Linked DNA regions of Drosophila melanogaster. The protein of the gene in region 1 interacts with the protein of each later gene in a pairwise test. Each region holds a gene or a part of one and is shown on either strand. Other genes may lie near its edges.

Region 1 (10,780 bases):
GAGCCGAGTCCCGTGACTATGTTTGCCTCACCAAGCGTGGCTTGTTCTTATCAGTAGGCTGTGACAGATAACCTGTGTCGTTGGCGTTAACTCCCTAGTTTTAAGACCGCGGTCCATCGTAACTGCATCGAGCAGCATCGTGTCGTGACTGCCCTTTATCTCATTGTTTGTTCTGTCGGAGAAGAGACTTTTTAGTAGCTCTTGGACCGCCCCGAGCAGCGGTCGTCAGTCGCGGCACAAATCCGACGTCCAAAACAATACAGCTTGTTGTGGCACACCAAACGCGAACGCTTACGACCCACAAAAGCCGCAGCTCTGTAACCCGATCCAGTCTGAAGCGCTTTCAAGTCAACAACTGGCCTAGGTCTCTGCTCCCTCTCCGGTTCAGTTGGTCTACGTCGGATTAGGCGTGCAGGCTGTTGAAAATGTTTCGCGCTACGGAAATCGGCAGCGAAGAAAGTGAGTCTGCAGCTAGATAAGATAAGACAAGAAGCGCAGGTAATCCTCTCTCTCCCTATTACATGTAGCCCTGCCAGCTCTGGCGGAGCTCAGCCAGGTGGGTTATGAACGCGATGCACGGGACGTGGAGTGGGTCGCCTGGAGAGGAGAACGGGCCCAATTGAAGCTGGCGCATCGCAGCTCCCTGCCCAATTATGGATTTGCTCCACCGACCATCCGCATGAAGTATAGGTATCCACGAGCCGTCTTCTTCGTTCTGGCCACAAAATTTTTTGAGGCCTTTGCTGCCAACGGCATTCGCAGTAAGTTTCCAGATTTCCATCCAAAAGCAGATAATCGATTTTTGGTCAGGTCAAAGGCATTCGTCGGCAAAGTCTGGTTGAAAAATTCCGAAACCAGGCTTATCAGCGGCACAGAAATATAAACACAAGGAGGTCTTATTGACAGTCAAAAGACCTGTGATGGTGCATAATATAAGAGGCATAGATAAGATGAAAATTTAGGTTGCAATTGGCAAATAATGGGCAGGAACAAGACCTAGCATTTAGTTACTTAAAAAGAAAATCTTCAAAAATAAGATAACTGACTCAAGATTATTATTATTGTTAATTAAAACTCCTGGAATTTTCCCATTGATGTGAATCTTAAAAAGAACATCCATCATTAAAGAGATGGCTTAACGAATTTCCAATTAAGTCTCAATGCTACAACCTTTATTTCATGGTCAATAATTCGAGATTGACTGCAGCCTGACCCACGATTACGATGTATACTCGATTCCAGCCGTACTCGCACTCTATCTGCGCGACGATCTCAACTTCACGGAGAGCTTTTCCACGGTGGTGCTGCACATCTTCAACTTTTTTGGCCAGTTCTGTCCGATCATTGGGGCGATCCTAGCGGATAGCTACATCGGCAATGTGCGCACGATATCCGGCTTCAGTTTTATCTACGCCTTTGGATGGTTACTCCTCACACTGACATCCCTGCCTGCCATGGGTCTTCCGATGGTGTAAGTACTCGCAACGGATTAGGATGAAGGATTTAGCTTATTCCACTTGCGACTCGTAGCTTGCTGGTGTCCATCGCTCTGCTGTTTATCGCCGTTGGCAATGGATCGATACGAGCCTGCATCACCTCGCTGGGCGCACTGCAGTTCAAGCTGCCGGAGCAGAGCGTCCATCTGGCCGAGTACTTCTCCTTCTACTATTTCGTCTACTATTTTGGAATATTCCTGAGCAAGATCCTTCCGCCGCTGGTTAGAGCTAACACGCAGTGCTTTGACAAGGCGGAATGCTATCCAGCCGTATTCGGCACCCTTGGCGCAGCCTTTATGATGGCCTGGTGTAAGTAACTATCAGTTTTCATAGCTTATTTCTATTTAATTTACGCATGCTTGTGGTATTAGTTATCTTTCTGGTTGGAAAATGGTTCTACAAGTCCGAAAAGCTGTCCGATGACAACATACTCTTCAAGTTCTGCGGCTGCATAAAGACCGCTCTCGTGGAGAAGTGGCGACGTCGCAAGTCGACAAAGCGCTCCAACTACTGGCTACACAATGCAGTTGTAGCCTACGACATGGGTTTCGTCAATGATGTGTCCAGAGTTTTGAGGGTCAGTTATACTTGTGTTATAATGAAGATTCTTTCAACTTCATAATTTCGTTTCTTTTAGATATCCAAGCTGTTTATCCCACTGCCCTTCTACTTTGCTCTGCTGGCGCAACAGGATTCCAGCTGGACATTCCAGGCCACCCAGATGAATACCACATTAATGGGCGTGACCATCCAGCCGGATCAGGCCAAGGCCGTGGGACCCATCTTTCTGTTCATGCTCATCCCTCTATGGCAGTATATAACAGTGCCCTTGCTGCGCCGCTACTTCAACTGGGAGCTCCAGCCGCTCCATAGTGTGACTGTGGGTGGGATCTTCTCCGCCGGCGCCTTTTTCTGTGCAGGAGCCTTGCAGGAACGAATAAAGGTAAGCAGGAATAATAAGATACCTCACCTGATCGTTTATTAACCCGAAATATTCGAAGAATTCCCCGCCCCAAACAGTGAATATAGCTTGGCAACTGCCCCAGTTCCTGCTGCTCATGATGGGCGAATTACTGCTTTCCATTCCGGGTCTCCAGTTCGCCTTCACCCAAGCACCGACCTCTATGAAGTCGGTGGTCACGGCAGCCTGGTTTCTAAATAATGCTTTCGGCAATCTGATCGTGGTTCTGGTCACCGAGCTGGGTATGCTTAGCTCACAGATGGCCGAGTACTTCTTCTATGCGGTGGTAATGCTAGTTTGCATCATCCTCTATGCCCTTTTGGCCTTCGATTACACTCTGCAGGAGCGCAAGGCCGGAATGTATGTGAGGATGGACAGTGAAGCGGAGGACCGGGATGTGCCCAGCACCAGCCGCAGCGGGAGCATATAGGAGAAGTTTCTACGGTCTAGTATTTTCATTGCACTTGTAATTTATTGATAAACGCACACAGGCAAACATGCATTTAACTGAAAACAAATAAAAACTAAACTAAGATCAGTCGATTATCTTGAACATATACTGCAGCTCCAGGTTGGAGTCATCTGGCAGATCAGTGCAGTGGACGGCGTTCTGCACCTTGGACTTGCCGAACTTGGCGCGCAGCGTGTGAGGCCGCAACAGTTTGGCGATCTCCGGATCCATGGGTCCACAGAAGTTGCGGAACTCGCGATCAGTTTTCTTTTCGGGATCGGCGCAAGCAATCTCCATGCACATGCATACTCCACTGGCCAACTGAGCAACCATGGGTATATACTCGGGCACCACTCCGCGGTAGACTTCGTAGAACTCCTCGCAGTTGATTCGGGCCATTAGAATCATGCGCATGGCTGTCAACCGAAAGCCATTCGACAGGATTTCGGAAATGATGTCTCCCAGGAGACCATCCTTGATGCTGTGCGGCTTAATGATGGCAAGTGTTGTATTCTTGAATACACATTCTTTAATTATGCTGTGCCTCGCCTCAGATATGAACTTTAGGTCCATTTCCACGTCGTTGTCGTTATCAGAGTAGTAAAATCCATAACGAATCTCCTCACTTTCAAACAGCTCTTCCAAACTGGGCGACAGTTTCACACTGGGTGTTTCCGCCTCTGTGCTCTTGTACTGGGCGCAGGCCTTGATGGTCTCCACTACGTTGTCGCCGATTAGCTCCAGACTAATGGCCGGACCAGCCAGCAGCTCGTTCATAAGGACTCTGGAATTTAGAGGATAAGATGTGTTCCTTGGCATGCCATCTTTACTCACGAAGAGGAGACATCCGTCGTGTCCTTGCCGGACAGAAACTGAGTTACCATTTTGGGAGAGAACTGAACCATCATGCCCTGGTTTATGTTAATCTTGTTGTCGATCAGAGTCTTTAGGAACTTGCCCAGGTGCTTCGTCCACATATTGTTCTTGAGCAAAACGAATCCCCTGAAAGAGATGGGAATTACAGATTAGCGAGTGGATAGCTGTCGATGAAGGAACATACTTCTTGCGATATTTGGCTAGGTTTGTCCGCGTAGTGTCGTCAGCATAATCCACAATGTCAAACTGCCGGCCAAAGACATTGATCTTGGAGCCCACAAAGAAGTCGCGCTGGGTCAGCTCCGGGATCTTGGTGCGTCGCAGAAATGTGCGCTTGTTGCGCTGGTCGAACTGAGGGAAAACATGGCCTTGGTTAAATGTGTTTCTTTGAAGAACTTGTGCTACCAATCCTCACCACTTCCACGGCCTTGTCGGATACATAGTAGGTGATCAGAAAGGTGCGTATGATTCCAGCCTCTGCATGGAACCACTCGGCCACGAAGGCCAGACGCCGCTCGCTAGCCGGAATCGCAGCGGGTTTCATGGTATCGTTTTGAGGGGAATCTTATACCTTGCTTTTCCGTTCTATCGCTTGACAGCAAGTCCTTTATTTCGAGTGATAACTGTTTGTTTGCTTTGCATTTCAATTGTGCTTCTTCTTTCCCGCGTTGTCACAGCAACAGTGTTGCCAACATAACAAAATTCATTTAAGTGGGCGCAAAATTTAAAGAAAAAAATACCTATGTTAATTTTAAACCCAAATTCTAGGGGATTACCCATAAACAATTTTTAACCATTACCTATAATTTCTTTTTAAAATCGCTATCTATTCAAAGATAAAGCCTTCTTTGCGACATCTTTAAGAAGCTGGACTGCGCATTCCGAATTTAACAGTTTAGAGATTTCTAGAACATTTATAGAATGTTGTAAACTTATAAAATATTGAAAATAAAAAGCCGAATATAAGTTTTTCATTTTTTTTATTGTTAATTTCCTTTATTTACAGGAAACAAAAATAATAAACTGCAAACTGATTTTTGCAATAAATTGGTTGTAGCTTTCCTCTGGTTGTTAAATTCTAGCGTAAAACTTATGGTTTCCCTTGTCGGCGCCAAATCATCTTGTTCCTTGTGTTGCTTTTTGTTAACATCTCTCCTCTGAATACGCATAATATTCAGGTATATTAAATGTGGTTTTCTTCGATTGGAATAGTGTTTCATGTACGCATGCGTTTGTGGATGTTTTATGAGTGATTGAGTGTTTCTTCTTTTTCTTTTCTGGTGTGTATGTGAGGAGTGAGTGTTGTGATCGTGTGCTGACTTATGGTATAAGAGCCACGCCTAACGCTACGACTACGCCAAATTGCGAGACACCATCTGAGCGACCGTCTAGGCAGCTGGCTTCTTCTCCTTATCACCCTCGCCGCCCTCCTCGTCATCCTCGTCGTTCTGGGACAGACTTGGGATGTTGTCATCCGAGTCCTCCTCCTCGTCATCGACGTTGAAATCGTCGAACTTGTTGTTCCAATCGCCACCAGGGCTGTTAAGGAAATTTCCAAACATGCTGTTGTCTTTTTGGTCACCTGCAAAGTGCGTTTGTATGAGTGGGTTTGCTGGATGAGATCTTGGGGATGAGGATGTCAACTTACCCTCCTCGTCGTCGGACTCATCGCGCCACTTGGCAAAGTTGGCTTTTAGGAAATGCAACTTGGTCTTGTCCGTGGTCAGCGAGGACCAGTAGGGACCGGCCGCCTTCTTGGGTATTGTGAATTCCAGGCAGCGGCCAATGTTCTTGCTGGTCACCTTCTCGGGATCCACCTCGTGGAGGAAGTTCAGTGTGACCTCGTACTTCTTCGACGGATCCAGCACGTTTACGCCCTTGAAGGTGAAGGTTTTTTCCGTAACTCTGTTTTGGGATAAATATATGGAATTAGGATGTGCAAGGAGCATGGACATACTACATATGGGGGCATATACTTGTGTTCGATGTCCTTGCATTCGACATCGATGATGACGTAGATCAAGTCATTGCGCTGGGCCCAGGAAACTGGAGGCGGAATCAAGCTGCAATGGAGGATCAAGTTGGATAAACATAAATAAGAGCTTCATGTCGTTGTGCGAGATCCGTTGCCATGGCAACTCGCGTCGGACTTTCTGGAAGCGGGTGCACGAACTATGTAAATAGCTTCCCAGCTAGCTAGATTTGCATAAACCATAAGCCCAGGCAAAAGTCCATGCCGAAAATGCACGGCATTACCGCCAGCCGAAAACATAACCTCAAACACTGGACCCTCCGATTAGTTCCACAAATATCGCAATGCAGATGCGCACAGGACACGCCCACCGTGGACACAAACGCTTGGCCAGGCGGATGAGCGCGAGAATAAGGGTCATCCGAACGAAAATTATGTGTTTTTCACGGCCGGGAGTTCGAAAATGGACGCCGCCGCAACGACAAAGCACGCGACGCACAAAGAAGCCACAAAAAGATGGTCCGGCTATCGCCGATTGGCACTGAGATGGCCGGTTGTGGACTCACCCTGCTGCTGCCGACATTATGTTGTTGCTGTGAATTGTTGGTTTATGTTTTACGAAGTCGGAACACTTCTGACTGACAGCCTGACTTGGTTACAAAAAAAGGCAGTTTCTGTTGAACAAAATTGTCATGCACAAAATTGACATGAGAAACAGAGTTACCGAGCGCGCTGCGGAGATGTGACTAAATTTGAACGGTGCTCTGGGGTGCGAAACTTCGATAGTTGTACTCAAACCACAAATGTTAGCTTGTTACGTGTAACGTAAATTTGAAGTGTTGTGTCAAAACATTTTACATTGTCGGTAAAAAGTATTGAAATCAACTTTTATTTGGTTCAAGGAATTTATGATGATGATTATAAATCTATGATCTACCAAAGTCGGCACGTTTTGGCGCCAGGACGCATGCCGCTGCCCACGGAGCAGTTGTAGGCGTGGAAGAAGTCCTCGCTGTTGGACAAAACTCCCAGGACACGAAATTGGTCGAAGGTGTGCACATCGCTAAGACCTTTCCAGTAGTGCTCCTCCTCGTAATGGGAGCAAAATAGCTGGGCAAATCCCAGGAAGAACAACTGTTCCGGCGTGAGATCGAGACCCGGCATGGCGTCGCTTATCCTCTCCTGCCCAGGATGCTCCAGCAGTTGCTGCCTGTGACTGCGATAGGCCGTCAATGCTTGTCTTAATCCGCTATTGTCTGCGATATTCTCGTCCAGTGTAGTTTTTCCGTTGACACGCCTGCTGATCTCCGGTACCTGGTACTTGCCATAGTAGTCCATGTAGCACTCGGCGCGATCCTCTAATGCCTGTTGCGAAATTTCCGACAACAAGGACTCCATGTGACCATTGCCATCGAAATAGGAGCTGGTCGTATCGAAGCCGTGGATGAGTTCATGACCAACGATAAAACCCAATGTGCCGAATTTCAGGGAAATCGGCAGGTGGCGTTGGTATATCGGTGGTTCCACCACGCCAGCCATCACATTAATGGAGTTGTCCGGAGTGTAGTAGCCCGCTCCAACCTGCAATCCTGTCAGGATCTTCTGTGGCTTGGTGTCATTGGTCAGCTCCTGAAAATGCCGACTGCTAAATCGATTGATTTGTACAACTAGGTGCTGCAAATTAATGTTGGTCTCCGCATAGCGATCCTCGATGACTTTCAGACTGTTGATTTCCCGGATTATTCGATCCGAAAGTGCATCATCTTGGAACGAACCAATGCGTGGCTGTATTCTGGACTCCTTAAGCAGTGCCCTCGCCCTGCTCTCCGCATCCAGCCAATCGGCATCCTCCAGCGCCTTTCGCAGACTCTTTCGCAGTTCCCGCACCATTTCCGACATCTCCAGCCTCTTCGCCTCACTGAAGTTGTTCTGTAACACAAGAGTGTTGAGATTATTTGGTATTCTCATCATACGCATTCGTTACCCACAGCCATGTAGAGTTTGTTGAACAGAAACCGCATGGATTGATAAAGCGTAACCGAACAGTAGTTCCTTTGGTACCTGGGCGCCTTCAGTTTGGGATCGAATCTATAGAGCAGCTTCATGGCCAGGTAGTTGGCCACAGCCTTGCGATGTCGGGCGCATACTTTGTCCAGTTCAACGTAGTAAAAGTCGCAGAATAATTTGTTAGTGGAGTGGAGTCCACTCCACGAGATGTTATAGTAGTACTCCGATTGGGGAAACACTCGCTTAATTCGGTAGGGATCAAACACTTCGCACTGGGGCGGGATCTCGAGTGCGTCCCGCCAGAAGGCAAAGACCCCAGCGATGGCCTCCCTAATCCTGTCCTCCGGCAAGCCGAACGCCCTCAGATATCCGTGCATTCGCTCTTCGTTCAGGCGAAAGGCGCGTGTGGTATTTCTGGAAATGTTTTCCTCATGTACGATGATGTGATCGAAGCCCAGTTCGGGCAGTTTGGTGTAGGGCTCAAAGGGATACCTTAACTGGAGAGTTTCGCGGATCAGACCGTTGGCGCCATAGTTGGCCAGATGAGCACTCATGTTGATCCAGTTAAAGTTTGAGGCTTTCCAGGCGTCTCCATCCACAGCGGGAAATCCTCCAATCGATCGAATTAGACTCAAGTAAGCGGGATCCGCCGCATTGAAAGGATGGAGATTTGCTCCCAGACAAGCGTTGTAGAATCGCTGGGCCACCGCCAGTTCGCTGGATACGTTTAGAGCCTCCGCCAGATCCATTCTGCCCAGCAGTTGCTCCGTGATGTCGATCAGTGTGTAAGTCACGTCGCCCAGGTTGCTTCTACTGCCCGGTGAGTACCGATCCGGCTTTACGTTCCGATAATTTCCACAGGCATACTCGTAGAAATTCTCGCAGGGCTCTACACTTTGGTTCATATAGGATTTCATGAATTCCGCGTATTCCTGCAGTTGGTACTCTGCCGCGGATCTATTGGTCGAGCTACCATTGCTATCGGAATTTTCGGACCTGTCCACAAGGCTCCTGGCCTCGCAATCCGTCAGAACCGCAGCCACAATGACCCACAGCAGCATCAGGGAGATCAGCTTCAGTGATTCATGAAACATATGCGTATTTTATGGGAACACTTCTCAATTGGAACTTATAAAACACACTGATTTAAATCGCGAACGAAAACTGGCAGAATCCCAATAAAATCAAGAGAGCAATAATACAGAGATATAAAAAACCCTTATCAGTAGAATGTGCAACGGATTGTTGATAAGGAAGCGAGTAAGTTTTTGTTTACAATCTGTATACAAATAAGAGATATTTATTGATATTTAGTATTTACATTTTGCAAATTTAATTCCTGTTATCTGCAACGAAAGTGAAAGGAAGTGAATATCGGGTGAATAACAACAGCGGAGTAACAGGTGGTTAACAGATGATAATAATACTGTTGACTTGGTATTTTGATATTTTAACATCTTAGCTATGTTGCCTTGGTAACATGGAGTTTGTTTACAATGTTTGTTGGTTTGGTGGTTAACAGGTGTATCCATTTAGTTAACAGGTGGATAACAGGTAGTTAACAGGTGGATAAAGGGTGGATAACAGGTGGTTTACAGGCGGATAACGGGTGGAATATGAAATTCCATTGACAAAACATGTCAGTTCTGTTGTCGTGGTAACGTGGTGCCAATTTCCGAATTTTTGGTTTACATGTCATCAACAGGTGGCTAGTTAGTTGCTAATAATATCGTCGATCGACGAAACTTCTCAGATCTGTTGCCCTGGTAACATTAAGCTTTATTCAACTTTCAATTACTGTTGCCTTGGCTACTGGGAGCGTATTTCGAGTGTTTATTCGATAGGATTTTCATCTTATTCAAATCCACAGAGGCAAAAAGTTGTGCAACGCGCAGACAAAAATCGAAAAACGCAGTAAATCTATAATGATTTTTGAATAGAGAGAAATTCCGAGTATCTTTGATTTTTGGTGAATTTGCTTTTTGCTTAGAGTTTCGGCGAGATGTTCGTGCAAAAGAAAAAGTTGGTGGAGCATGTTCTGGCCATGCGAGCCGAAGGGGGCAGTAGTGATGATGATGATGAGGAGGAGGACCAGGGCGACATTTTGCAGGTGCAAATCCCGAATCACTAATTACTAGACGTATTGAGTGCTAGTCGTGCTAATTAACCCATATAATCCTATGTTGTTGCCTTAGATTATAAATACAAAAGTAACCTAGATTTTCCTAGAAGCCCTTTGACTGATTACGTAATCGCATAACCTGCAAGTTGCGAGTGTAAATTGCTCGTAGTTGAGGCTCTACCCATGTAATATCTTTCTAATACACCAATCTTCATTTCTTTTTAGCTGAGTAACCCAAAATCCACATAGATGCAACTGTAAAGAACTTCACTTCCGTTGCTGCAAAAAGATAACCTAGTAAAATGTTACGAAATCACCTTTCAACTTATACTGTATAGCATTTAGAGGTCACTACTTTTGATTTTTGCATTACTTCTGGTATTTTATTATCATGCTATATGGGTAATGTTGTTGTAGATTTTTGAATGTAGTATCGAACTTTTACTAAGTTTACTATGTGCCATTTTTGAAACTAACGAACTCTTGGTCTCTTTCGTTTTTGAATTTTGAAAACCGAACATTTTGTAAACACCAAATTGTTTTACGAACTGAAATCAACAATACCTTTTTTTGTACAACCAAAAACATTACCACCACTACGCACTGCAAAATATTGATCGTTAAACTATTTTCTGGAAACCAAACGGTTTCACGAATGTCTGACCTGACAACACGGATTCGAATATAACGAATAAACTTTTGAAAAATGGACCCTGACGAAGCGCAGCGGCGGCGCGAGGAATGCGAGCGAAAGGCCCGACGTGGGGAGATGGATCCCCGGCTGGAGTTCACCTTCCAGCTCCTGATCGATGCCACCCAGCTGCCCAGGCATCAGCTCATGGACTACATATTCGAAGGGGACATGGTAGGCGCGTCACTTGCCACATGGTATCAT
Region 2 (10,872 bases), 5.2 Mb from region 1:
TTTTAGTAGCGCAAAAATGCAATAACATTTGGGGTTTATTTGGCTTGGTTTGCACTACATCTAGATTCACAGTGTGGAAGCTAATAAAACTGTTGTAACCTATCCGCTTGAAGGAATGATTAAGCCAAGTCAGTAATGTTTGTAAACTATACTTAATTTAATCTAATGAATTGCAGTTTAGATGTGTTCCACAAAAAGACTCTTATTAAATTTTCAAATTTGCTTGATTACGATGCACAAATCGAAGCAAGCATTCCGAGAAATGAGATATCCAATCTAAGCGCCAATATAAGGCAAGATTTTCATTAGCGTTTTTTAATGATAGTGGAATGTGCTTAATTATTAGCTGTAGTTGCACACTCAACGCTGTGTAGAGGTGCATCAATTTAAAAGTTCTAATGACTAAGTGCGCTAGCATTGACTTTATGTATAAAACATTAGAAATGGCTTATTGCAAGCGTTAGCCTTTTCAGATCTAACTGAAATTCACTCAACACTCGAGCCACTTAAATTTCGCATTTTAATAAGGTGTGCTCGAGTTCTCAGCCAAAAGCAATATCAAGCAGAATAGTTAATAAAGATGCAGAGATACCAAAATTACGAGCTGCGACAAACTCAAAGACAATGGTAGAGCCAGCCGGGGAAAAAAGAAATCTATTTAAATTGGACTTAAGTTCGGGCCGAATTTTTGGGGAATGTTGGCGAGGGAAACGATGGGCACTTTACCTTTTGCGCAATAGAAACGTCACCGCAACACTCAAAGCACAAAGCCACCTTTCAAATTGAAGGCTTAGTTAGCTAATGTGTGGTAATGATAATGATTATGGTTGGCAAATACCCCAAACGCCAAATATGAATCGTCAACGGCCTCGTGGCTTCACCATCGCCTCCGAAAGTGACAGTTGGAGACGGAGATGGCCCAAAGAAAACGCCCTTAGATGGCCCTTACAATGACTTTCTCGACGTTCCACGTCGGTAGCAGTTCCGCGGGCCATAAAATCTGCGGCTGCGGTAAACGGTAAGCAATTTTGGACCCTGAGAATGCCATGAAATCGGGCTAAAATCAAGTCAACTGATAATGGCCAGTTCATATAGCCTCCGCCGACATCCGCGAGCACGCCCACCAAGTTGGGGATCGGTGGTGCTGCTTGGCTAATGGCGGATGAGGCAGCTAGTATGATCTGGCTGGAAATAAAACACAGTCAGGCGTTACGCTTTCGCAATCGGCGTGCAAACACAAAAGGTGTATGGAAATCGTCGAAACAGTACTACCACAGTAATGCGAAGTGACAGCCATGTCGGAGGTGGCTTCTTTGCCCTTTTCTCAGGTCCATTGCTGCACACACCCAGGTGGGAGCTCGCACGGGAATCGTGTGTCTCGGCTTGGCTGACATGATCTTCTGCTATTTCCCCAGATCGGGAGCTGTACACCTGTGCTATCACAGCTTCCAAGCCCCATTATTTGCCGCAAACACACCCAGCAAAGCCAATAAGCCCCAACCAGCGTTTCGAGAGGGCTGTTGAGGGCATTCGCCGACTGATTGGGATGAAGTATTTATTTCTGGTTTTGGCCTCTAACTCTGAGAGTGTAAGAATGTAATCGAAAGTTGTTTTCGCCGGTGGCCGCGCTTGGCGCAATTTGTAGCTTGTTTACCTCTGGAAGCCCATAGCGAGCAAGCAAAGTTTACCTTGCTCCAAAGATCAACGGTCCACGTTGGGCCGGACCACTCGAGCCTTCCAAACAAAATATTGGATTAGCGTCCAACATCCGACTTCGAGCGCAAGCCTCCGTAAGTCAAATATTCGATGCTCAACTTGGGGGCGGAGCAAAGGGTCTGGCTGAAGTGCACTTTGGCCCCACTGCGACTGCGGAAGGAGGGCCGAACTGTGAATAATCAGCAGTTAAACATGGGGGCGGGGGCTTTAATTATTCGAGTAGCCGTAAAATGCAGTTTCATGATGGCACTCACCAGGCAATTACCCGATGATGGGCGTGAATTAGGAAGGAACCGCCTGACACCTGCACTCCGCAGGTATATCATCACCAATCGCCAACGGCGACTTTGTCGCCCACAGAGCCTGAGAATCTACTGCTTTATTGGCAATAAAACGGCTTAACATTCGCTACCTGAAGGCCTCCTCTTGGGATCGCATCTAACTTCGTAATTCCATAGTAGCATTCCGCAGCTAATTACCGAGTGCTATTATCGGCATTACTGGGCGGGAATCACCCCATGACACCTGTAAGACCAACCACCAATCGGCTGTCGAAAAGAACCTAATACCCTCTTCCGATGTCCCATAAAACGCGACTAAGCCGGCGCGAGCTCAAGGCCTCCTCTGGGGCACATTTCCCAGCTTGTCCACTCCAAGGTAACTCTGCTAATAGCCACTAATCTCTGTTGAAACTCACACTAGTTTCGGCCCATATAGCCACTTCCACACTTCCACATGTGCGTGTGCTCATCTCGCGGCGCATAAACCGCAAATGAGCGATTACAGGCTCTCGAGATTGGCCGGAATGGAGCTGGCCCTCGGCCAAGACAATGGTCGGAACTGGGAGTGGCGGTATGGGGAGGGGGCACCATTTCGGAGCTGCTCGACAGCTCAATCGGCGCCGCTTGGCGGGGTCTTCAACGCCATCGCCTTTGGCGTCGGCGTCTTCATCTTCAATGTCAAAATCCTCGAGTGAGAAGTCAGTGCTTTGTTGACAGATTTATTGCGAGTAAAGTAACCGCGCTGGCGCGAAAAATGTTCATTAAAACGAGCAGCGCAAATGCGTCGTATCCGAGTACAATTGCCTTTTGTTTTGGACATATTAGTCAGTAATTTGGGCAGGTCTGATCACTCATATTTTCGCCATGTCAAGGCAAAGCCCGATCTCAATGCTACTCGCTGGATCGGCCTTTTCCGCCCTATTGCCTGTTTGCTTCCGGGACAACTTGAATTTCGCCTAATTAATTCATTCCGAATTATTTGCATGCAACGCGACTGCAATTCCACGCGGAAATAATTACCATGTGAAAAGCTGTTGACTCTACTAAGGTAGCTACGGAAAGCCTGAAATCAATCGATTTCAATCAATTCTAGCATTAAGTTCCCAACCTGTTTGCTAAGTGTAACGAGGTGTAAGCACATTCTAAACATTTTCTATTGATCTTGCTTGAATTGCATTTACACGAAGTGTGTTAACTAACTTGTTTCTATTAAACCATATTGGCTGATATTTATTTCCCACAATTTGGCCAAACAAACAATGCTTTCAGCATTTTATAAAAACAAGAGTAATCACTTTCATCGAGTTCCTGACTATCAGATACCTATTACCCAGCTAAAGGAAGTCCAGATGAACTTGGCTAGTTCGACTGCCTAGTCTTTGTTCGAATACACATACATATGTACATATATACGGAGGATTGCGAAGGATACATTTTTAAATTGTCTTCGGCTACCTTAGAAATTATCAAAACATAATAGAATTCCGGAAACAAAAAGAAAATAAAGCGTCGAAGATATGCTTTCTATCAAATACATTTCAAGTTCAGGTCTACCCTACAAGTATTGTGTATAATAATTAATTAGGAATTTATAAGGAATGTACCCTAGTCTCGAAAACCATAAGGAATACTTAACCATGGTATTGGACTTATATTTCTGAAACGGAAGTTTCTTATAACGATCAATTTGTGGTGTTCTTCTAAATGTTAGTCTTATTGGGCATATTGCAGCTCCTTTTCGTTTTGCTGTTCGCGCTTCGGCTCACTAATTAAGTCAATTTACTGACAAGCTATTTAACTAATTTCCCGGGGTTTCAAAGACTGCTGTTGTAAACTCTAGTTAGAGTAGAGTAAGTCTAGTTACGCTAGTTACTCCAGTTTGTCGAATCAAATCGGGGAAGTTGAAACTCAAAGCAGAACTAAGGTAATGCAAACCGAAGTGCAAGCTAGGTGATGTCTCAACTTGTTTTAGTGTCATGAACAAGTTGTGAGTATCTTCTGTCTAAAGTGCGGAGATGTGGCTGATAGTGTTGTTGCTTCTGGAATATTTTTAATGCCGTACACGTCGCAGACATAGGCGGACGAAATTCTGTTAATTGTTTTCATTAGTCACTGCAAAACGCTGTCTTCCAATTGACATTATAAGTAGGTACGTGTGCTTATCCCAAGTAAAGTCCCCTAACATCGCTGTGGATGGCAGTTTACGTAGTGACGATGAGAACCGAGAGTCTGATCAGAGCCATTTATGTATATCGTGATCGAATAATCTTTTGATGATTTAAATCTCTTGTTGAATGATGATTAGCTAGGAAGAAGGGGGAGCAATTCTAGTTATAATTCTTGTATTTATAAAACAAGATTTGAATGACATTTTCCAAAATGTGTTTGTCTGCAAAATTTGTTAAAAAAAAGTTTAACTAATTGCCATTTTAGGACTTGAGAAGTGTCATCGTCACTTTAATCCCACATATTTGGAGGTGTTTTTTATAAAGTTTATATACAAAATGTTCGTATTGTACAAACTGGATTGCTACCAGATTAAGATACGAAATCTTGCTTTAATCCAGGAATTGTACGGGTATTGTTATTGGCGCTTAACTGTAATGTAGTAATTGTTTAAAATATTCGAAAACTGCCCAAGACATTTTGGTATTCAAGCGGCGGCCTATCTATCGGTTAGTGGCTTTTATGGTCGGTAGAAGTATATATATGCATATATATGCATATGCATATATATATATATATAATGGGAGTCAGACAAAAGTGTATGCCCTTCTATTTTGTATTTATCAATACATTTAAACCGTTTGTAATGCATTCAATAGCAAACATAATAGCAAACAATAGTATACATATAAAGGTATACTTTCACGTAAATGTAAACGTTTACGGCTCTTTTCCTAACACTTGGCTTCCGCAAATCGCAGTTGTTAGCACGCCCCATTGCGCTATTCGATGTGGAAGCGAGATCCTCTTCTAGACAAACAAACTTTTGTGTTTAAATTATTTATAAGTAGAGAGTAAGCGGTGTGAGCCAGAGCTGCGGCCACGCCGGCGAGCGTTGAGCGATTTAATGTTTGGGTAAGTTTTGGCTGAGGCTTCTTGAGGCTTCTTGAGAGTCGGGCCTCAGATCTCGGATCTGCGATCTCAGGGGATTGGCGTGTAGCCTGTAAATTCGCTGGAAACGCGGCTACGTGCGTGGCATTTGAAGAACGGTGAGCGCGAAAAAAACCCAAATGGTTTGCATATGTAAATACGGAAAGCGAAATCCCAGCTTACTGTTTGAAAGTATTTGCCACCTTAGTGGCATCCGCCGAGGAGCGCCTGAGTGGCTCCAGTCCGGGTAAGAACAATGAGCAAGCCCTTCTGGGCGGTTCAATTTATGATGTCCAATTACAGCCAACGCGGAAGCGATCGTCGATCTGGAGCCATTCACTACCATTATCCCATTATCGATCAGTAAGTCACAAGACCTCGAAAGTCGGTCCCAGAAGCGGTTTTCGTTCGACCACCTCGCCTGACTGGGAAACACTCAAGGAAACTTTTTGCCACGATCAGGATGCCCTGCGACAAGTCCAAGGCCAAAATCGGGTCATTGCAGATCCGGTTTTGTGCGAATCGTTTCCGCACTTGTTTCGAGTTGCCTTGGATTACCATTTTGTATATTTTTAGTGCAAGAAAAACTCTGGCAATTATTCGCGAAGGGCGCACTAATTGCGCTTCTGCTACTTTGGACCCAATGTCAACGGTGAAAAGCTTTACGATGCTGGCTAATTCTTATGCATTATCTCGAGGGGTCAGCAAAACAAAACCTATCGGTATATTGGGAGTCAACAGTCCAGAAACCAGAACAGCTGCTCAAACAGCATACAAATCCGCCCAGCTGTTCGTGGTCTGCCGCTGCGCTGCCAGTCAGGCCAGGGCTAAATCCCGCCGGAATCCCGCCTGCGACCACACGTCGAGGATTCTCCAGAGGTCCTCAGCATCGGATCCTCGCTGGGAATCAAATGCCCCACGCAAGCTGATTTTGTGCAACCGCCAAATGGCAGGGTTGCCACACCATTGGAAACACCGGATCGAACAGCCCGATTGGCCAGTCAAATCGATTAGCTCGGACGATCTGCGCCTTATAGCCGGGCAGATTGGCCAGAGCGGGGAGGTGTTTTGGCGTGGAGAGCGCCGTCCAAAATGCTTATTGTGAACGGACCAAGCGCCGCGCAGTTGCAAAAGAGCGAAAAACAAAAATCACATGTGCGAACAACTTACAGCTTACCACTTGCAAACAGCTCGAAATCCGCAACGGAAGGCGGCCAGCAGCAGCTCGGTTGGTAAATCGCTGGCAACCGAAATCTGAAAACTAAAAACTGCAAAAACCACAACACACAAATTGCGCGGCCCGAACTATTTCACAAAGTGTTGCCAAAGAACTTTGTAAAATGATTACTTTCGCAATAGCTTTTGGCTCTTGGCTTTCGGCTTTCGCACACGGGATCGGTGACTGCGTCTGCGATTAGCGCGCGCTTGACTTCTGAATGAAAACTGAGCCGCGATCGCGCCGCGCGGCTAATTAAACGCGGATCGCGCGACGCCGACGAAGCGGAGGCGCAGGCGCAACCGCGAGCGCCAGCGCAGGGAAGAACGCCACTGGCAGCGCAGCGGCTGCGGTGGAAACGTTACGGTCAGCGGCAAGCACCGACCGAGTGCAGTGCGAAAACTTTCCGCCGCCGAGCGTCAAGTGCAGTGCACGAAGATGGCAAATGGCCTGATTGGCTCTTGGCTATTCCCGGACACCGGGAATGATGCGACTCGATTCAGATCCGGAGATCCCGAACCCAAGACCCAAATCTGAACCCGAACCTTGTTTTTTTTTGTCTGATGTCAGCGGCGCAGGCAAGGTTCAAGTGTGGCTACCGTCGCAATAGCAATCGCACACTGCCAGCGAGTAAATATTACATGGAGTGAACTTCCGAACAGCCCCGATACCTGGCCTTTCACAGCGTTAAATCATCCATGTTAATTACGAGGCGTACGATTCCTGCCCGTGTAGGTGATCTGGCTTATAATCATGGATACGCACAGATATACGGCCTTATTCGAAACTTTGGGCCAACCGTATGACCAACAATTAAGAATTGCTTGGAACATGATGAAAGAGTTTTCGCAAAATATGGGGTGACTTAAGATTTATTGTCTAATTATCCTACAATTATATGTTCCAAATCGATAGTATTTAAGAAAATAGGGGTTTTATTTTTATAGCGGTCGTTACTCGCAGCTTTTGCCTGAATTAATAGTTTTTTTCCAACAGTTTTTTTAATTCTCCAAAGTTCATTCCTTGTAAACGAAATTCGGATACTTGGTAGTAATAATACAATTGATAATTGGTCAGGGTTCAGTGTTTGGTCACAACGCATCAAAGGGCGCGTGCCAAAGTGAGCTGGGAAATAGTTATTATTATCTAACGCTAACACTAGCCTGAAGTGCCGATAGTCTCCGTCGCAGCTCCAGCTCCAAATACGCCGGTGCATTATGATGCATTAAGTTATGTCAACTTGGCTAACATCGCGCCCTGTCCGGCTGATGCGGCAAGAGTCGAGAGCCGACAAGGTCAAGAGGGGCTTAAATATTAGCCTGTACAGCCCAGCTGTCGCCGCCTGTTAGCGGATTTGTTTGCCAAAAATTAGTACGCGTCTATTAAGTACTGGCCCATTTGTACATTAAGTCAGTGGCAATCTGTATTGTTATTTGATTTTTTCGATTGTTTGGTACGTTTCTGCACTTTTGCACAGCCGAGCGTTCAACGATCATCGTAAAAAAAAAAACAAGAGAGATCTTGACGTTTATACGGTCTATTGGTCCTGATGAAGTAATATGTTCTTTATCGAGTCAGAAAAGAACATAAACTGCCTACCTATAGTCTACCCTTTGACTCTACGGGTAATGGGTATTACATTTTAATCTGTTGTTTGAGACAAAACAATTGTGAAAAGCAAATAATCATTTGCAAACGCGTTTTTAATGACATGTAGCACAAATTATGGGCTTAGGTAAAGTATTTCAAAAAATGCTTTTTAAGGGACGAACAAGACGCCCAAAAGGTTCCAATTTAATTTTAACATATGTTTGGTAGTGGGGCTCAGCCAAATTTTTTTTTACTTTTCTCAAAGTCTTGGTATGTAATCGCTTGATCTTTTACGCTAAGATCGGACTACCATAACCGCTTTAAATTTCTTTCTTTTCAACGAATCTACATATATACCCTTTAATTCTGAAAATGACGTCATAGTACTGCAGACGCAAATAAGCTACAGGTGCAAGGCTAACTTCCTTTCTCGTTGCGGTTTAAGTTATAAACGTCGCAAGGAGTTCTTAAATTAAAGTTAAAACTTAGCAACGACGTAGTTCAAAGGACTTTTCTTGTGGAGGGAGACACTAAATATATCCTATAATATAGTGTTATTGGTTTAATAAATATAATATAGTTTTATTTGGAATATTCATGTAATTCATAAAATATTTATGATTTGGTTCACTACTTGGTCGTATAAAGTGGGAAATGTGAAATTTGATTCATGCTCAGCGTAATTCCTAATGCGATTATTTCAAGAGTTCTTTTTTATTAAAAGTTCAAAAGGCACATCAGGTGTTAGGCCTGGTGTATGCAATATTAATTCGGTAGAATTTGTAAATTAATATGTGACTTGTAAATAAAATATTACACTTGACCCATTCTCGGAAATTTTGTTAAGTAAGCAACAGGCATCTGATAGTAAAGGCATTATTTTAAAGCCTTTATTATTTCTAGATTTTCGTGGCTGGCAAGATGCCTTGTATTTCTCTGAAACAATGTCCAATCTCATTAGGGGATAGGCCACATGGGTCAATTGCCACACCCTCAGAGGCTCTAAAGCCTCTAATTATCAGTTATAAGTGGGAATACACTTAATGTGTTCGTTTATTAACAATTACACTGTACACTGGCCCCAGGGATTCAATCCCGTCATGAAAGTTATACACACGTACAAAATATGCGTTAATACAATTGAAATATTTTCTTGAACAGTTTTAATATAAATTAAAAAGCTTTATTTAGGTTTTCTATAGTTTTTGAACTTGTCAGCTTAAGCCACATAATCTAACAACGAAACCATACGCACGGATTAACAGACAGAATTACACTTACAAATAATTTGTCACCAATACTTCTCACTGCGCTGAAAAACCGTTTAACAACTTCAAACCAAAAATGGAAACAAGCGGATATTGAATAGGTAGTAATAAAGTAATATATATGAGCCACACCAAAAAGAGGTTCAATGCAATGCGAAAATAGTTGAAAACTTTTGTTAAGATTCATTTACATTGGTCGGCAACCAACTAATAAACTGATTGTCTTCGTCCTTAAGCCGGTTTGCACTTACAGTATAAAAGCTTTATCTCCATGATCTTTGTCACTCTTTCTTGTCTGACTATAGTGTGATCTTCGGTCCGGTCGTCCGTTTAGTTGTCACAATTGTCCAGGAAGGCCAAGGGGAGGTCTGGGTCGTGCTGCATTTTGCAATTGGCTAGCTAGCTACAATGTATAAATAAGTTTAACTATTAGACCTTTACAAAGTATTGCAACAAAATGCCGTTCTCTCTCAATATACAAAACAAGCTACAAATAGTATAACGTCTTCTTTGAGTTTAGAGCAGACTGAAGAGAGCATGTATAGCTTTCATATATCATAGGTTCGGCCGCCGTAACATCTCAATTTGTTATCAAAAATGTTCATACAAAATTTTACACCTAAAGTGAGTATGTATGTATGTATGTCTTTGTTGGTGTTTGTATGCGGTAAGCTACACTATAATTGGTATCTGTAGCTGGTTTAAACAGGCTTTATGGCTCTATAAATATCGTTCAAAAAATAACTTTTCTCTGCGCACCAGAGGCGTATTTGTGCTTCAAGCGGGACGTTCATACTGGTGCCGTAGGACATGTTTGTAAAAATGGTTTGATTATATCTTAGTTTGTGCTGCCGCTTCTCTTTCTACTTAGCTTTAGTTAATGACGGTTCGGGTGGGTGGGCATAGGTGGCGTTTGTTCGGTAAGTTTCGGCGCATCCGATTGACTTTTGCCATAACTGATTTTATGTATTGTACGTATTTAAAATATAAATTATCAAAAACAATCCATAAACCGAGCTCTATTAATTTTTCGCTGCTGTCGTGCCAATCGTCTTCTGCTACTTCTGCCAAGTTTCTTGCTCGTCTTGTTCTTCAATCTGGTTCAGTTACACGCTAATCACTTAACATAAACATAATGAATATCATCGTAGTACACCTAATCAGCAGTTATTTGACTTTGCGCTGGTGCAGACTAGAACTACTGCTGTCCGGGTTGAAGATGGCATCGTTGTTGGATAACACGCCCTCCTTGAAGAAGCCCTCCTTGTAGGCACCATTCGATTGCCCCTTGCTTTTGACGTACTCGTCCTCCATCACCGGCTGAAAAGAAAACACAGAGTGCTCAATGAGTTCAATGGGTTCAGACTCCACTGGACGATGGCACGTGTGCTGGCAGCGAACATGCCGCCCATGTGCTTTTCTAATGGGCGGCAGATTGGGCTGGGACTGGGCTTGGGCCTTCGCATCCGGCTTCACATGTGAGCGCTAATTGAAACGTCCCCCGCCTATGCTGAGAGTTCGCAAGTGCTGTTTGCCTAACTCAGCTAGTTAGAATTTTAAGTTGATCAACAAAATTATGATGATATAACAGCCCACGACGGCTCGCCCCTCCCGCACCAGACGCTCACCTTGGTGAGGTCGGGGCGTCAGGGCCTTGAGTATGTAAGGAAAATATGTGTGCTCAGTCTCCACTTTTATCACTCAG
Region 3 (10,119 bases), on another chromosome or scaffold:
TCATATTATTGATGCCACACGCAAAAAACTGGCATTGGCAGACCAACTGGCACCCACGTGAATGGTTATAGTATACGAAATCCGGTTTATTTTAGTGCAAAGTTCAAAGATCTCAGATGTTTAATGACACGTTTTTGTGTCCTGCCGATTATCGTTCAGATTCCAAAGCCCGCTAACTAACCAACACATCGATAAAAAGGACACCCTAGAAAGTAATATGCCACTTATAAAAAAATATTTTCGCGAATGCGAACTGGACTTTGTTACGGATTCCCAACGGACCAACCCACATCACAACCTTTGTGTAGTTATTGGAGCGCAAGTACTTTCACCGCTCACAAAAAGCGTCCAGTTTTTTCTATAATCAAAAAACAGGCCACGAAATTCACAAAAAAATATTTGTATAAGGACTTGGCGAGTGTGGGAATGTGTATTTGAATTGGCAGCTTTCGTGTAAATACTTTTCAATTTTTTAGGGTTTCGACGGCACAAAACGACGACGATTTCCACCACACCCACACACACACACACTCACCTGTGTTTTACAAGTGGGCCAGAATAAAAACAAAACTGCCATTGAAATAATTCTGCACTTGAGGGTAATTACATTATCGTTAAATTCAAAATATAATGAAACTGGATTGTACAAGTTCAAATTGGCGAGCTTTGGTTGCCGGCAATCCAAACCTGTTCATGGTTTTATGAAAGCAAAAGTTCGCGTATATTCATATTTGTACTTGTTTCCAGCGAAATGTCTGACTTTTATATTAATTAATTGAAGCGCAAGGGTGCAACAAAGTATTAATCCCCTGTTATAGATGAATACAGACATCAATTTTGCAAACATTTTTATTTATGGCGAAATTAATGAATGCCAGTAGCTATGATATTCTATGGACTTTTCGTGTTTGCACACAAAAAAGTGTCGACATGAAATGGTGTTTCTGGCATATTTTTTTTCAGTTGCATATTTATTATCTGCAATCTGCTTAATTGATCATAATATATAATATTTAGTCTTTGGCCTGATAAGAGTAGTATGTTCTTATCACTATGGGGTGAGTTTTAGATAAGAAACTTCGTCAAACGAAACATATATAAGTTATAGTTAAAATCTGATTCAGAATAAGTAGTGAAAACTTACCTGAAAATGTCAGCAAATTGCTATTATTCATTAGCACTGCTAAAGCAAATAACTAAATATTTTAAATACCTAGAGATATACAACTTTATGAATTCCTTCGTAGCGTTCTAAATTTATTCGTATGTGGTTTATTTTGGGAACGTTTACCCACCATCCGGATTTTCGACCCTGCGAACAGCAAAACGATGCGGATAGCAAACCGAATTCAATCGAAACGCTAAGCCCAGCAACACGCCCACTTTCTGGCCCCCCAGCAAGCCCACTTGTGCTGGCTTGGCAAATTCCAATTAATTTATGAGCCAAAATCTTGTTTATCGGCTGACGGTTTGTCGGTTTTGTGGCTTTTGTCTGTCTTGCTCGAGTGCTTTGGACTTTCACTGCTGCGGTTGTTGCTGGTCTGGGTATTGCTGCGATTAGAGGCGGTAGTTGCTCCACAAACGAGTTGTTTTCGAGCAAAGAAATGCAGGCAAATAGCGCCAGCTTAAGCTTTAGTCTTAGCCACACATATACTATAGCTACTTATGAACGCGATTGACGCTCGTAAATTCAAGTGCCTTCATAGCCGTGATCGTCTAGTGGTTAGGACCCCACGTTGTGGCCGTGGTAACCCAGGTTCGAATCCTGGTCACGGCAATGCTGCAATATGCATTGTCACGGAGAAGGATCTACTTTTTTTTTTGGTGTGATCCTAATTTTATAAACTAAGAAATCAAGGCACAAATTACACTTTACTGTGCACTATTTGGGCCATTTTTTTAACCAAAAGGTGTTTTAATCCGAAAAGTATTTATCAGATCGGACTAAGGAGTTTAACCGCTTGTTTAAGGAGTTTACAAAATCCTTTAGCCAACTTGCATGTGAAATGTAACAATTTATTTTAAATTCCCATTGTCTTTCATTTATTGAAAGAGTTTAAGATAGATTTTATTTTATGAATCGTTGTTTTGTTCTTCAACGAGCCAATATCTACCTCAGAAATCAGCTCTATAAAATAGGCAATTGTAACTTAAAAATAAAATACTAAATCTCTTGGGCAATATATCTCCCAAGGATATTTCAAACCAAATTGATTTATTTAATCTCTTTTAAGCGCCACACTTTAAATAGTAAGGAAAAGCACCTGAGCTTGGCTTCAATTGTCCTGACTTGCGGCTTTTTCTGCAAACTGAATGGCGGCTGGCTTTGACTTGAATTTTAATTTAATTGTGAGCAATTGACAGAAATATACAAGAACCCAATCCAGCACTTCGACCGAAGGATATTAAGACGCTGCCAGCTGGTGTTGACATAAAAACGCAATAAAAATACTGCCACCGAAACGGAGCAGACGTAACAATACACAGTAAAATGAAATAGGAAGGAATAAAAATAAAAAGAAAATATATTCTATGATTTTCTTACATATCACCATTTAAAATATCCTTTAAAATATTTGGAATATACTTTAAATGATATCTTTCTTTCAAAGCAAAAGCCTTAAAATAACGTACATACCTATTACTTATTTTTACCAATATTCCCCTTAAATAAGATTCCATGTTCGGTGTACGTACAGGGTACTTGCCAAAAAATCACTCAAAATCAATTGAATGTGGCCAGCACCGGTTTTCCCGTGGCAATAAGGGAAATCAACGTGAAAATAGCGACAACAATGCGTTTTGTTGCCGCTGCGGAGCAAGTGCTTATTGGATTTCTCGTCGTGAGAAGCGGGTGACAGCCTTTGGAAATCATTACTGGTTGGTGGGAATGGGTGTGGGGCAACTGGTCTGGGTTGTTGCGGGTGCTGAGTTGGGGCGATACAGAGTGGCCCATAATTACTTCAGGACGGTGTGAATCTTGTCCCAATTGCCATGGCGAATTTAAATTTTCCGCAAATAAAACGGCCGTGTGAGACAATCGCATTATTTACCATATACAATTCACGTAAAATGCAATGGCCATTTTCATGCCGTTTCAATGAAAGTAAAGAAAAATACAAATATTAACCACAAAGGCCTTGCTCACATCTGTGGGGGGTGGTTGTGGGCGGTGTGCGGTGGGTGGTGATTGGTGTGCAGTCGCCTGTATTTATGCATTTAAATTCGTCCGTTTCTCTATACGTATGTGTGTTCATATTGAATGGATAAAAGGGATTTGCGTTTATTTCGTTCTGCGTCTGGCCTGTTGGGTTCTTATGTATATATATATATATATATCCATATACGATCTGTCTATATGGCCGATGTCTGCGGGGCCATTTCGGAACAGAACGCAACACGCCGGAAACATTTTTGTTGTGCCATTTGCATTGCCATACAATTTTGCTCAACACATTGGCAGCAACAACGGGCCCATTTGGTTTTATATTTCATAAACCGGGGGGATACGACGAAGGTTTCTGTTTTAAGCGGCAAGTCAGAACGTATAAAATACAATAAATATGTCATAAAATTGTGGGTTGTCACAAACACTTTATATACATTTGTACCGAAAACCAGTATGGGCACCTTTCTGAAACTATATATTCATTCTCTATATTTTCACTATTTTACTAGCTATTTGTATACAGCGTAAGTTCTTTATTACATTCTTTCAATTTACGCTTGTCCAGTCCATCTTAATATTTACTTGTTCTTAAACGAGCACCGGAAATGATCGTTTGAGCTGTGCTAATTGAATGAAATGTTAGACTCGGCTGGGAATTAAAAAAGAACTGCGTATTTTCGTTGACTCATTTCACATTTTTAAATATATTTGGTACCTGGTGATTAGCTACAATTTATGCAAATGCAAGATCATACAAATATTTTCTACAATGGCATCGCGACGAGAGCACGTCTGAGTTTAGAATGCAAATATTAGTGCAATTGTACGTGTCTTTGGCGGTGGCAGCTCCTCAATAAGTTAAAATAAACTATGAACTAAACGAATAACAGTTATTAGCACGTGCACGCAGAAATGAGATGGCACCAGTGGTGGACAGGACAGCCTACTGGACCTTCTTGGCCTCCTTGGGCGCAATGGGTAGTCGTTCGATGGCCTCCTTGTACAGCTGGTTAAGGCCAAAGGTGGCGCGCACATTGTCGCTGGAGAAGAAGAACTTTTGCAGTTTACCCTTGGAATCGACGCAGGGCCTGCGGTCCGTCTCCTTGCCCTGTTGGAACAGGATCACAGTTGGTAGCTGTCGGGAGAAGCTGCTGTCCGAGATGCGATACTTTTGGGCCACGTCCGGAAAGCGTCCAATGTCAATCTTGCCGAACTTCAGGTGGTCCGTGTTGTACTCGGCGGAGAGCTCAGCAAAAACGGGGGCGAAGTTCACGCAGCTGGGATTCCACACCGTGTAGAAGCAGATCAGCCAGCTGGTTCGCTTGTCCCTGGCCAATTCCTCCTCGAAGACCTGTGCGTTGCGGAAGTAGGTGATGTGCTCGGGTCCGCGATACGAGGGCTCCGGCAGCACCATGCCCACCAGGACGCATAGAAGCAGAAAGCCCAGGCCGTAGCGGAAGTCCGCGTAGGCCCACAAAATGGCGTTGGCCACTTTGGTGTAGAGGAACGACGAGGCCAAGTAGTTAATCATGGTGACACTGCCCGTTTTGCGTGACCGTATCATCACCACGATTAGCAGGAAGAACAAGATTTCCACCTCACGACTGTCCAGGTCGCATGCTTCATCCTCTCCGGCGAGAATAAATAGGCGGGTGCAGATGAACTGCGTCTTTTTGGCCAAAAGGTACGATATGGCCAGGAGTATGTTAACCCAGTAGTATGGCTTGGCCAGCAGAGCCATCTGCTTCTTCCACGTCATCTCTGCGTCCGGGGGCTGAATGCGCTGATCTGGGTCACGATTTTAATTAACAATTTCCCGAGTTTTTCTTTTCTTGCTTTTGACAGCCAATTGTTAATTTTAGCCTCGCCGTTGACTAGAAATTAGCAGCCTAGTTGTCTGGCACGGGCGTTGCCACCTGATAAAAGAACAGTGGCACTCTTGTCAGTGCTGGAAATGGTATTAGTTCGTTGGCGCCTTTTCAAATTCAAAATCATCAATTAACAGTTTGCCTTTCTTAAACGTTCTTTGATACGTTTTATTTACTTATATGCATTATTATCTTACAAGTATTTAGTATTTAGTATTTAGCATTTTTTTTAAATGATAATTAATCAAAAGTTAAAACCATAAACAGAACTTGGGACAACCATATTTGTTTGCCCGAAAACCAACCGAAACTGATAAGCGAGTTATTGTTACATCAGCATTTTGCTAAAGTCATTGAGAGATTGTTGACCTAGCACACAAAGGCCACTGCAAAAAAAAGGTAAAAAAAAGGCATCGAGGATCTTCATTATCGGCACACACGCCGAGTTCAAATCTGCGAAAAAGCTTGGCTCTCTACGTGATCTCAGACGCTCGTGGCTTCCATCAGTCGCCTTATCACCCAAATATTATTTTGGCCTTTTTTTTTGTAGTTCCTAAATTAAATGTGTTTGGAACTGTGTGAATACTGTGAGAATTTTGTACCCACTTCATAGAGCATCACCAGTATTATCGCCATCGTGGCTGACTCTCCGCGTTGTGCAAAGATTAATTTTTTTGTAGTAAACACTGTGCGCGTCACTGGACTAAACGATTTATTTTTAATCGTATTATTGAGACCAATTTACGAGGGTCATCTCCATGATCCCCATCGGATCGATCACCCACCTCTTTACTGGTTTCACTAGTAGGCCGTTCTTTGTTTATACAGCGATTATTTTATGTTCAATACACTGGCAAATAAAGTGAGCTTGCTTCTATTTATAGAATATTTTCAACTGTGTTATTAGTAACCTCCTTATCGAATCAAACAACTTTCTCGTGGCTTTATATTTAAATTCAACCAATCATTCACTTTATAGTAAAAAAAGTATTAACAAAGACACTAGAATAAGACAATAGAATAAGAATTCTAGTGTCTTTGGTAATAATATATTAAAAACAATTAACTTAAAACAAAATAAGATTTTTTCAAGTGCACTGTTTTGTACAACTTGATAGAAATGAAATAGGGAATCAATACAGAAAATATTTCGAAAATCCGAGATCATGACTAATCAAAGTCAAATCTAAGGTGTTGATGCTTTTGCACCTTGTCTGCGCCAAAACAAAAATGAAGTGAAAATTTCAGTAAACAACGTGCACTTAGGTCAGTTTTTAATAATATTATAATCACAAATGCCTTTGCCAGCATGCTATAGTGTGTTGGCAGCCGGATTAATCTGGTTTGGAATAAAGTCTCGTAAGATTGTCAGCCATTTGAGTACAGGGACACTCGTGATGGGAACGAGAGCCCTTCATCTTGGCTGCGGCTAAAAAGCAAAACTGGTCTATAGATCCAGGGCTCTGATAGCCATATCAAGTACACAAATCTACTTCCCAGCCCCATCGAAACTTCCCGTAGAGCTTGGAAACAAATAGGCTTGTGTGTGGAAATGACAAAAAAAAAGGCAAAACCAAAACAATGACAACTGCAACTGATAAGTGGCACAAAATGGCGATCACTTGCCGGCTTTATAATCGCGCTATCAAGGCAGCCTGATCTCCTGTCTCCCGCTTATCACTTGGCGGCAGCTCCGAGCCGAACCGATCCGATCCGAACACGCGTTCTATAAATTCCATTCCCAGCCAGGCGACGTCTTCAGTTTAAATCCGAACCCTTGTGCTGAGTGTTCATCTCCGAGTAGCAGACATAGACAATCGCAGACAATCGAGCAAATCCCAGAAAAAACGACAGGCATCAAATGCCAAATCCATCGTGCAAAGCTAACCATTCCAATTGGCCTAATCTGATTCATAGTTGAAATTGTGATAAAAAACAAAAACCAAAGAAACTGGGACACATTTCGATCTAAGCGAAATATCCCCTATCCCACAAACTTTTTCCGGACTTTCAGTTTGGCCTTTGAATGCTGCTGCAGCAGTGCGGAAAAATCATCAATCTCGATCAGCATTTCACCGAGTGCTGGAATACAAGCCCATTGCGAAACTTTGACTTCATCATCTCCCTTCTGAGCGTTATTTCCCTAAGTGGTGGGTGGTGATTTTAGCCATGTATTTACAATGTATAACTAACTTTTGATGCTCCTCCTCCGCCTCCAGTTGTTAAGATGGCCGCCATTCCACAAGGTGCATTCGCAGCCTGCAAGATTCGCGAGCAATTCAACGAACGTGAGCTGATCATCGCCCGTCTGAGGTCCGCTGCCGCAGATAAGGGTTCCGTTGACAACGGGAACGCCCTAACCCGTAAGTGCACATGACGATCCACGATCTCGATCCGCTGGGTCAATGGAGCTCATACGCATCAATTTTGCATTTCCAGAACGCGAGTACTCGCCCAACAAGTACAACGACAAGCTGATGAACTCCATCTGGGGATTGTACAATCGCTATTCCCCCCACAATGTGAAGAAGAACGAGTACGCCCCCACCAAGTGATGACCTAAAGTGGGGCCACGTTCGCTTCCAGCTGACGTGCCCCAAACGCGACTAGCATCCCCACCAGGATGTTGGTCAAAATCAATTATATATTATATATACACAACTATAATCTCAAGCATATATCGATTTAAACGCACATAACACTTTGGTAACAAATATCTATTTAATGCTGTAATGTTTTGTAAAATTCAATAAATACTTATGATATTGTATGTAAAGGGACAAGACCATGAGGCGTAGTTTAATTTAAATAGCAGGACTCGTAGGTCGGCACCATGTACTTGATGTTGATGAAGGCATCCTCGCCGCCATGCAGTTCCAGCACCTGCAGCGTCTCATCGATCAGATCCCCCAGATTCAGATTGTTCTTCTGGGCATAGTCGATCTCATCGCCGCAGTTTACTATACAGCACAGAATATCCACTTCAATGGAAGTTACTGGAAGTAATCGAGTTTAGTGGAATACCTACAGTTTTTCACCTTAAATGCATTGAACATGGGCAGCAACTGGCGGTAGAAGGGCACCAGGGCGGGTCCCACCAAATCCGAGGACATGACCAGCTGTTGGATTATCTTCAATGTCGTGCACATTACCTCCAGGTTTCGTGTGCTCAATGCGTCTGCAAATGGGGGCGTATTTGGTTTTGGTTTTGTGCTCGCATTGGCAAGGTGCAAATTAGACCGAAAAACTTCGAGGCATTTGCGTGCCAGCCAATGCCCTGGTACTCACTCTTCAGCGGCAATATTAATTGCGGTATCACCGGGTGTATCTTCTCGCCCCCGGCCAAGAGGAGATCCGTGACCCCCTGGCGGGCATAGGTCTTGTAGGGATGTTTCGTCTCCGCCAGTCCGTCGAAGAAGAGCGGCAGATAGAGGCTGTAGTCCAGCTTTTCAATGTCCACCTAGGCGAGATACGGGAAGAGGTGACACCGTTGGCGGGTCAAAGGTGAATAGAGCCGCTCCAAGTTCGAAATTGGTTCGTGTACCGGCGGTGGCGCAAGTCTTGCAAGTGTACATTTGCACGCCATGCCGGTTAGGCGCCCTAGCTGATTTCCATTAAGATGCTCTTTGTTTGCTTACGTTGTCAGTGGAAAATTTTTAGAACACATCGAGAAATGGGCCTGTACCTGCCTATAGACTTTGCAGTGCTAAGTCTAGACTAATCTTTGTTCGAGAGTCTGCTTTGAGTATAGTTACCAGCTTAGCTTAGTTGATTTGAGCTAACAAAGGGTTATAATATAACCCACTATCTTAACCAGATTGTATTGCATATATGACTGAATGACTCAGAATAGGAATTTTACTTTGATTTTAAGAAGACAGCAACTTTATATTTAAGTCAAAGGCGACATCGCTGGCATCGCAGCTGCGTGAGCCTCACATATGGGTTTCCCCAACATCGACCTTCGACCCCGTGACGTAAATCAGGCAGTGTCACTCACATATCACTCTCCTGTCACGACGGCATTTCGGCCTAGATAAACAAACGCACCACCCAAATGACATACGCCGCATATGTGGACTCCACATCGAATATGGAGTGCCATCCAAGGTCTGTGACATTGAACCAGCCAAAGGGGTCACACACACACTCATGCGAGGTGGGTGGGAATTGGTTACACATAACTTTCCGATTGCAGCGGAGTTCCATGGGAAATTGACTGACAGTTGGACGGTGCGACGTTTTGAATGTCAGTAGTCGCATTCCGGACGGAATCGCTTGCCCGTCAGCCGTGGAGCTCTACTAACTCCGGAAATAGACAATGGCATATTATTTACTCGGTTTTTGCTTTCACCTGCAACACTTGAAATAATTGGACACGCAGGTGTACGAAACTCGAGCTAAATTCAAATATGGGCTTTGTCTATGGGTCACCGAGTGGTAAGGTTACCCCTTTCTAGTGACAGTCGTGCAATTTCATTTGATTTTTATTTGCATTGACTCACATTTGTATAGTTGAAGTTTAAGTTTGCCAACAGACATATGGAAAATTCTAGCTATGGTTACAAAAATAAATCATTACCCGAATGTAAGGGCTTAAAAAGAATTAAGTTTAAATGTATGACCTATCCAAATTTCGAACAATATAACTTAATACCATATATATAGTATAATTAATAAGTCAACTAACAACGAACCTAATGGAATTTAGCGCCCTACCAAATAATTCCCACCACTCACCGTCCATCCGATTTTGTCGCCCCCGCAGAGGTACTCCATCTTTATGGGCAGGTCGCCGCGGTCAAAGTACATTCGGAAGAGGGTTCCTCGTCCCGGATCATTAGCCCCACCGGTGGAGCAGCCATTAAGACCCATGCCCAAGTTGAAGGTGGACATGGACTTTTGTTGGCGCCTCAGAACTGAAAATCAGTACAAATGCAAATGTGGGCAGGGATGTCATTAGGGAAACAAATACCGATGGGCGAAACACCCAAATAAACAAACTAACGCACTTTTCGGATTGGGCACCCGACTCCTGGCACTGGCTGTCTTGGGGGCGGTTTCGTGGATGGGTCCGTCGAT

Evidence for each region.
Region 2: the proteins of Nepl12 (region 1) and CG31522 interact in a two-hybrid assay, tested with the Drosophila melanogaster proteins (one large-scale study listed by BioGRID).
Region 3: the proteins of Nepl12 (region 1) and CG11007 interact in a two-hybrid assay, tested with the Drosophila melanogaster proteins (one large-scale study listed by BioGRID).

The regions. Positions count from the first base shown.
Region 1 is NT_033777.3:9,673,629-9,684,408, reverse strand, and holds Nepl12 (Neprilysin-like 12), read right to left. Parts: upstream 8,887-10,780; 5' UTR 8,858-8,886; coding exon 7,745-8,857; intron 7,686-7,744; coding exon 6,690-7,685; 3' UTR 6,631-6,689; downstream 1-6,630. Other genes in the region: CG9444 (uncharacterized protein), read left to right, coding at 426-459, 528-761, 1,243-1,471, 1,531-1,805, 1,868-2,073, 2,134-2,439, 2,498-2,887; nmdyn-D7, read right to left, coding at 2,993-3,692, 3,743-3,910, 3,969-4,135, 4,200-4,328; p23, read right to left, coding at 5,173-5,366, 5,433-5,689, 5,761-5,847, 6,323-6,339; Dhc1 (dynein heavy chain 1), read left to right, coding at 9,766-9,873, 10,613-10,750.
Region 2 is NT_033777.3:4,456,357-4,467,228, forward strand, and holds the start of CG31522 (uncharacterized protein), read right to left. Parts: upstream 6,528-10,872; 5' UTR 6,271-6,527; exon of another isoform or gene 6,264-6,270; intron 1-6,263. Other genes in the region: CG31523 (uncharacterized protein), read right to left, coding at 10,335-10,487.
Region 3 is NT_033778.4:19,497,997-19,508,115, reverse strand, and holds CG11007 (uncharacterized protein), read right to left. Parts: upstream 5,049-10,119; 5' UTR 4,929-5,048; coding exon 4,113-4,928; 3' UTR 3,522-4,112; downstream 1-3,521. Other genes in the region: CG16926 (uncharacterized protein), read left to right, coding at 7,064-7,187, 7,257-7,400, 7,477-7,592; CG15120 (uncharacterized protein), read right to left, coding at 7,837-7,997, 8,066-8,215, 8,326-8,497, 9,778-9,956, 10,050-10,119.